Rattus norvegicus: one gene and its partner. The protein of the gene in region 1 purifies or fractionates together with the protein of each later gene. This does not show direct contact. Links are inferred from orthologs where the notes say so. Each region holds a gene or a part of one and is shown on either strand. Other genes may lie near its edges.

What was found.
Region 2: the proteins of Rnd3 (region 1) and Plekhg5 purify together in Homo sapiens (affinity purification with western blotting; 3 studies listed by BioGRID and IntAct, with this or other methods). This does not show direct contact. The link is inferred for Rattus norvegicus from reciprocal best matches to the Homo sapiens genes RND3 and PLEKHG5.

The regions. Positions count from the first base shown.
Region 1 is NC_086021.1:55,984,748-55,988,555, forward strand, and holds part of Rnd3 (rho-related GTP-binding protein RhoE), read right to left. Parts: intron 2,069-3,808; coding exon 1,959-2,068; intron 1-1,958. UniProt on the Homo sapiens protein: Binds GTP but lacks intrinsic GTPase activity and is resistant to Rho-specific GTPase-activating proteins.
Region 2 is NC_086023.1:167,873,751-167,878,275, reverse strand, and holds the start of Plekhg5 (pleckstrin homology domain-containing family G member 5), read right to left. Parts: upstream 3,105-4,525; 5' UTR 3,038-3,104; coding exon 3,034-3,037; intron 2,950-3,033; exon of another isoform or gene 2,787-2,949; intron 2,336-2,786; coding exon 2,259-2,335; intron 1-2,258. UniProt on the Homo sapiens protein: Functions as a guanine exchange factor (GEF) for RAB26 and thus regulates autophagy of synaptic vesicles in axon terminal of motoneurons. Involved in the control of neuronal cell differentiation.

The DNA of each region.
Region 1 (3,808 bases):
TAACTGTCAAACAATGCTGTCTGGTCTACAATTTAACCACTGTCCTAACCGGATTCACGAGAACTTGTTTCTGGCATGGAATCTAGCTGTTCCATTTAAAACAGCTAGACAGCTTTTCATGGTTTTGCTTCTTCTGACTTTAGTTCTCCACCATCAGATGAGGGGGGCTAGAGGGTTCGAGACTCTTCTACCCACACCTACCATGTCTTTGGTGCCCTGGGAAGAATGTAATGATGATGTAGCTTCGTCTTTTGGGAGTTGACAGAGCAGAAGAGGCAATAAATGTTTGTAAGTGTAATACTAGGGAAGAGGGACATTCCTAAAGAGTGATTTAAGAGACTACCAGAGGACAGCTCCAGACCTCAAGGTGTAGGTGAGTCAATGATATCTAGTCACGAAGTGCTCCAGCATATGGAGGGCAGTAACACACCGAGTGCCTGATCTGTCCACTGAGCCTTTCCTTTCCACCTCCCTTTCACAATTATTTAGAGGCATCTAGCACGTTCTCCTAAAGAATTGAAAGACTTAGTTTTTTCTCTACTTTAAGTCTCTAATATCCGTAAGACAAAACACAGATAAAGTAAGTTACCGTAAGCTTGCAGCTCATACAAATGTCAAACACATTCATTACTATCTACAGGGCCAATGGCACTATTTGTTTGGTGTTAGTAGGCAAAATCAAAGTAGAAGAATAGAAAAGCTTTCTGTCATAAATTATGTATAACCCACTACATCAAGTACAAGCATCAGGAAATAAGTGCTCCTTTTCTCTCCACACATAGACAGGCATGTTGTTCTGTTCTCAGCTTGTGATGTTGTGGGCCTCCCTCTACTTGTTTATAGCCTTAAGAGCAGGAAAAGCTGTCTGTCTTCCAGACAGAATCTGACAAAAAGTCAACCCTGTGTTTCATACATTACTTAGAACAGAAAGGTGTTACAAACTAAGAAGGACCCTTTGATCTACCAAGAGTTCAATTTCATTGAACTGCTTGCAATTTTTAGCAAAAACTGAAGGAGGGCTATGCCTCAAACCTTAAATTTATTTATAAGGAACTACCCAAGCAACTAAGTACCCTAAAGGAAAAATCAACTAATAAGAACACATAAAATGCAAATGCCACTGAAAGTAGAAACCAAAAGAACACAGCCCAAATGGACCAAGCCTGGACTTCTACATAGGTGCGCTTCCTTTCAGCTCTGCCCCCACATGGACAGAGCCACAGGGACAACCACTGAGTGATATTCTGTGCTCTTAGCCACAAGTGCAGTGCACAGAAAGGAAGGTGTAGTACAGCTACTGTCTCAACCTCAAACTAACAGCACCCAGCAAAGTGAGTGACTAAGATGCTTCCTCTGTCACAGCTTCTTCTAGTCCCATCTGCACCCATAGAATCTGACCCACCTTTGCCTCCAGTAACCAGGGCTGTGTGATAAAAGGCATGGTTGGCGGCATAACTGATGCCTTATTAGTATTTGATTAGTACATATCTGATTGTAATTCACATTGCTGCATTTGTAGGGATGAGCCCCACCACATATATCCCTCTTATGCTAATTTCACTCATGTTTCTAAAAATAACTAAACTACAACTCCCTTGTCAAAATAGCTCTTATTGTATTAAGGTGAATATCTGAGTTGAGATCAAAGGCAAACACATAAGGAGGAGTCTAGTCTGTCAAGCAAAGGAATGAAGGGTCAGGTAAGAGTTAAGCTATTTCCTACATTTTCACTCCATTTTCTCCCAAAAACAAACACGAAAGATCATGAAAAGTATTTTGTTTAGTTTTAGGGACTTAAGCAGATTAATTAGCCACTAACGGCATCAATGTTTTGGTGTGGAAGTGTCCTTTCCAGTCTTTTAGTTCATTCAGAATCTTTGTACCCCCTAGCCAATCGCCCATCTCTAATCCTATATGGTCGAAAGTGCTAAATGACATCCTCGTTCCTTAGCACTTACCTTCTTTAAGACACTGTCCAGAGTTTCTGGTCTACTGATGTCAAAGCAAATGAGCACAGCATCAGAATCTGGGTAAGAGAGGGGACGGACGTTGTCATAGTAAGGGGAACCTAAGAAACAAAAGCACACAGGTCTCAGACAGAAATCTCCACCGTCTTTGAGGCACTATCTCTACCCTTTGAGATAAATCCCTTCCCTGTTACAATGTAAACCCCACCCCACCCCCCACACACACTCCTTCCTGTAAGGAAATGTGAACACATCCACAAACAACAGGTTAATAATATATTCTTGTTCTAGAAGATCAGAGAACTCCTGTGCATGGGACCTCAGCTCCTGGGAGGGCCAGGAATTTAATGTGCAACTGGTAGAGTTTAAGAATCAGAGGCAGAAGGGTCCTAGATAAAGTGGGGAGTATGTGGGATCAAGTGACCTTGAGGACAAACCCATTTTCACCACTAAACGGGGAGAAGCCCAAGTCTTAGGATTAGGTGCTTCTGATTCTTCAATCATAAGGGGAATACAGTGCCAACCTATATTCGTGGGATCTAAGTAAACCCAGGTAGCAGCTGGAATTAAGGAAGAGATGAGTACATATTAACTAGAAGTATCGTGGCTCTGTTATCGCTGTGGTCAAAGGCCGAGTGGCGGCAGCCACTGGAAAGAGAGGGCTTCCTGGGAAAAAGATCTAAACTCAAGATTAGTCCAATAGTTGAATAGGGGGTGTGAGTGGGGGAGGGAGGAGGGAGAGCTTAATGGCACACAGGAAGTCAGAGAGAAGCACACAAGTGTCACTCCATCCCCAGTTACAAGTCTGGATAAGCCACTGACCTTCGGGTTTGCTTACACCTGCCCCCCAGGCCTGTGTAAGTCTGCTTCTTGCTATACCAAGAATGTCATAAATGCCATGTTAGATCATGTTACCTTTCTACACAGTTCTGCCTGCAAACATGACAGCAGGACATCATCCAAGGGCCCTGGCCTGAGTTAAACTCAATGTAGTCTAAAAGTTCAAATTGACAGTCAAACATTGGAACCACAGAACTTTCTGGACATTTACGATTTTTTTCTTCTTTCTCTCTTTCTTTTTTTTTTAAAACATCTTTATGAATTCCCAATGTTGGGAATTTATACAAGGACAATAATTATAAAATAGACTATAAAACATTGACGATAACTTGACAACTACTTTTAAGGAACAATTTCATCATAAAGCCATTTCATAGACAGCAAGAAAATCATTTACTAGGCAAATGCAAACACACTGAAGAGTTTTTTGACTTTTGACTTAGTTTTGACATCATTTTGAATTTCTGGCAGAAAAATATAACATTTATTCCCCAAGTCAAAACTTTAGTGGTCCAAGTCAGAGGGGGTGGGGGAGATTGATTTCCAAAGAAATAGTTTTAGTCAGGTCCAGTGAAGGAATGAGGCAAAAGGATTGCAATTTTGAGGCCTACCTGAGCTGTACAGAGAATGCAGTTTGAGAATCAAATTGTTTAACTCTACATATGAGTACACTAGTATTTCTATACCCTTTCTCCATTGAGCAACTTTGTGAGACCACGTTTCAAAGAAAAAGTACAATGACCTCCAGACAAAGACAGAGAGATGGCCTTCAGACAAAGACAGATAGATGGCCTCCAAGAGCCTGTTCTCTCTACCTAGAAGTTATGGTAGTTAGGTGTGTGTTCTGGGTTCTGGGCACTCACCACTGCAGTCCCTGGCAGCACTGTGTCTGCCTCACTCCTGCTTTAGAGATGGAGAGTGAGTGTTTGGAGCAAGGATGATGGGGCATGTTCTAGGAACCAGGAAGGAAAGTGTCAGCAGGGAAGAAAGGCTACAGAGTT
Region 2 (4,525 bases), on another chromosome or scaffold:
CCCATTGCATTTGTTGGGCAGACTGCGGTGGAGCCCTGTGAAATCTCTCAGGGAGGAGCCACACGGAGTCCATCCAAAGCCCAGGAGACAGGCTTGATTACACACACGTTCTACAAACGAACTCCAGGGTCACCGCTAGTGCTTCTGAACACAGTACCACAGGGGACAGTGCTGAGCATTCTACACGGAGGGCTTCTTTAAAAACCTCAGGGTAGGGCTGGAGAGATGGCTCAGCGGTTAAGAGCGCTGGCTGCTCCTCCAGAGGTCCTGAGTTCAATTCCCAGCAACCACATGGTGGCTCACAACCATCTGTAACGGGATCCGATGCCCTCTTCTGGTGTGTCTGAAGACAGCTACAGTGTATGCATATTAAAAAAACCCTCAGGGCAACTGAGAGAGGTGCAGTGGCTGCTCAGGGCCACACAACTGCAAAGAAGTGGGCACGACCCTGGAACTCAACAGTGTGAGCCACGGGTCTCCAAGGCGTCTGGTCCTGACAGAGAATTAGGTAGAGTGCTCCTGATGAAGCTCATCCTTCCGGTTCAACCTTCCCCGGCTGACTCCTCCCATCTCACAGCCCACACCCCTTCCCTGCTCACTCTGTTCTCCGGCCTTCAGAAAGTCCATCACGACAACCACGACAACCCCGACACTCGTGGAGTCCAGAGACAGACCACGGGGTGAGGCAGATCTCACAAGTCCTAGCCCCCCAGGGAGCCCTCACAGAATCAGGTGCAGCCCTGTGGGCAGATGGCCTTGGCTTGCTAACAGTTCTAGATTAAGGACATGCCTTCTACTCAGAGAGTCTCGCCCTGTGGGGGTTTCTTTGTCCAGGGCACCTCACATATCACCACAGTGAGAAGCGAAAGCATCAGGACCGACCTCTGTCACTCCTTCTCACCAAACTGTTACTTGTTCCTCTTCTCCCATGACTACAGTGGAGCTGAGCTGAGTCCCATGCAGACCAGAGGGCCAGCAGCTCATCAGGGACCAGCCCTCTCCTCATGCCACAAGACCTGTCCACAGCAGCTTGGGGCCCTGTCCCAGCCCCCGGGGAGGCCCTGGGAGGGATGGGACAATGTCTCATTCCTCTGTCACCCCTTTAGGTCAGACAGATGCTTCAGTTTCCCAGCAGATGTGTTGAGGGAGCTGGGGCCAGCCTGCTTGCCAATCTGGGGGAGAGGCAGCCAGCCAACACCAGAGCCCAACGCCAGGCACCACCGGAGCCAGCAGATTGTATCTGACATCACAGCCGCCCCCTTGCCTGGTGACCACGGCAACTGGAGGCCGCCCCCTCCTCTTCCCACCCCCAGAACAGTCCTCATGTTCCTTCTGACCATGGGCCTCCTGTGCCGGATGAATGGTGGGGAGGCGGCATTTTAAATCTCCCGCAGCTGGCAGGGCCAAGGTGCGTGGAAGTCAGGAACATGGGATCCTGGCTTTGCAGATCTGAATCCTAGGTTCGGATCCCCTGTCCACCACTTGCCAGTCAAGAGCCACTAGGTCAAACCATCTCTCCAGAGCCTCACCTGTGAGTGGCAAGGAGCTTGGGACCCCTCCCAGAAGGGAGGAGCAAGCTGATACCTCCTTGGAGATGACCATTGTCACACAAATGTGAGCTGGGAGGCTCTTAGGAACCGTGGGGCCTTGTCCAAGTCACAGGACCTCTCTGAACTTTGGTATCTTTCTCTGCAAGGCAGGGTGACAACACCTCCCCCGCTGCCACGGCCGTGGGTAAGGCACAGAAAGCGTGTGGCACAGAGCCCAGCCCGTCACAGGCAGAAGTGCCCAAGTGATATTTTTTGCTGTTACAGCTTCCCCTGACTCCATTCTCTTTGATTTATCCCGACTCCTCAGACTCTAAGACCAACTGCCCCTTCCCTCTTCCCCTTCGTCAACTCCATAGACACAGCTTCACTCAAGCCCCACAGTATCCCAGAACTATGCCCAGGACTAGTGGCCAGGTACCAAACCAAACCGTGGGACCCTTCCCTCCTTAACCCTCTGCTTCCTCACCTGTGAGGCTGGGCTGTGGCTCCCACCCACATCCTCAGGCAGTGGCAAGGACCCCCATGGGGCTGTTCCTTGTTTTGAAATGTCTCCCGCTCCACTACCCCTGACCCATGAACACCCTCTCCTCCTAAACCAGTCCTCCTGAATCCAGAGGACATTACTTCGTCCAGGTAAGGGCTCCACAGCATCCTGGGTAATGAGAACTTACCCATGCCCCCATGCCCCAAGCTATCCAGCCCCCCTACCTTGGCAGCCCGGCCTTTGTCCATGCAGGCTGGGTTCTGGCAGCGCAGTCCCTTCTCCTCTGCAGGGCTCTGGTCTTCTGTGGAGAAGCAGAGGGCATCAGTTTGGGGATGGGGGTAGCACCCACACTCCCCTGGGCCCTTGTGTCCTCCAGGCCAGGGGACCCGTGGGGCGGACTCCTCACTCCTGCCTTCAAAGGAAGTCAGTGTCCTTTTCTCTTTTAAACGCCAACTTATCTGAAGGGGGATCTGTTTGCAGAGCCCTTTTCTGTGCAGTTCCCCAGGGAAATTGTCCAGATTCCAGGGGGGAGTCTTTGGAAATCGGCTACTCCCTCCGTCCCACTAGCAGGAGGGTGACTTGGTAACCTCCCGGGGCCCCAGACTTTCTAAGCAATCCGGGCCAGGAGGAGGGGGACTCCGAGGGTCCAAGATGCCCTTTCTAACCCTGTTCTCTCTCCAACTCGGACCCTCTGGTGCCAGACATTCCCTTCCCTGGGCCTGGGGCGACCTCTGTCCCCTTCTATCTCTGACCGTGAGTTTGGCCCCCTCCAAGCTGATGCCCTTTCTTTCAGGAGGCTTGAGCGCCGCAGCGAGGGGGCAGGGGCGAGGACCCGGCAGCTGCAGCTAGTCCTGGGTGCAGAGGCCGGCATCCACCCGGCTCCAGCAAGGCCCTCCCCGGGGCAGGCCCGGCCCCCACTGCGCGCGACGCCCTCCGAGCCCCCGGGACTGCCAGTCAGCCTGCGAGGGGGGAGCAGACCGTCCGCGGGACCGCACTCACCCATGGCGCCGAGCCGTGGGGGAACCGAGCGCGGGAGCCGAGGACCGAGCGCGGGAGCGGGGGAACCGAGCGCCGGGGCGCCTGGCGCGCGAGGCGGGGCGGGGCAGGTGGGCGGGGGGCGGAGCGCAGGGCGGCCGCGGGGGGCGGGGAGCAGGCGGCCCCCGACGGCGCCTCCCCGAGAGACGGGGCGTGTCCCAGGTGGGTCCCACCCAGCTGGGTTCCCCGCCCCCCGCCCCCCCAGGCCCTTCTGGTGATGGCCACGCGCGCCGGTGCACCCCGGTTCCAGGCGGTCTCCTGCACGGTAGCCACGCCGCCGCGGCTGCCGCCCCGGCCGGAAGTGCCTCCAAAGAGCAGGCGCCTCCCGCACCCAGACACGCGGGTCGGCGGCACCCGCACCCCTCCGCTCCGTGCCGCGCCCCCACTCGTTCGGAATGGCTGCCACCCGCGGATCCAGGGTTGAGGACGCGGCAGAGGTGGGAGGACCAGGGGCGGGTGGCCTCATTGAACGGCTGCTGCTGTAGTTGTTAGTGTTCCCAGCTCGGCGCACGCACCAAACTTAACTTTCGCAAAATTACCAGCCCCGCACCCAGAGACCCTCTAGCCCAGCCCACGAGGTTCCACTGAGTTTCCTCAGGAGAACCACTGTCCTGGCTAAAAGGCTTTGAGGAATTTCCCCTAATTGTTTATTGAAATAGGATTATCAATAGAGAGACAGCTTTTTTTTCTTCTTTTTAAAAAGTATATCCGTGTTCTGCCTGTTTATATTCTGTGTGTGTAGGTGTCAGATCCCTTAGAACTGGAGTTACGGTTACAAGCTGCCACACGGGTACTGGGAATTGAACCCAGGTCCTTTGGAAGAATAGCCTGTGCACTTAGCCGCGGAACCATCTTTCCAGCCCCAGGGGAGCCATTTTATCATTGCTGATTTGTTTTTTGTTGTTTTTGAGTCAGGATCTCACTGTGTAGCCCTGGCTAACCTTGAACTCACAGAGATCCACCCATCTCCACCTTGAGAGTGCTGCGATTTAAAGGCATGCAACCCCCACAACCCCCCATGGACAGCGATTTTCAACCCTCTTGCAAGAGGTCATAAAGATGGCTGAGGATAAGGGCTTTTGCTGAATCCAAACCCAAGCTGCAAGGGGAAGTCTGTCTTCTTTTTTTTTTTTTTTTAGATTTATTTATTATGTATAAGTACACTGTAGCTGTCTTCAGACACACCAGAGGAGGGCATCAGACCCCGTTACAGATGGTTGTGAGCCACCATGTGATTGCTGGGATTTGAACCCAGAACCTCTGGAAGAGCAGTCAGTGCTCTTAATCACTGGGCCATCTCTCCAGACTGTCTTCTAACATGCATGTTTTGACATATCTGCATGTACATGCTACACACACACACACACACTAAAATTAATAATTGGGGCTGGAGAGATGGTTCAATGGTAAAACGCACTGTCTATTCTTAGGACCCTAGTTCAGTTCCTCGCACTCA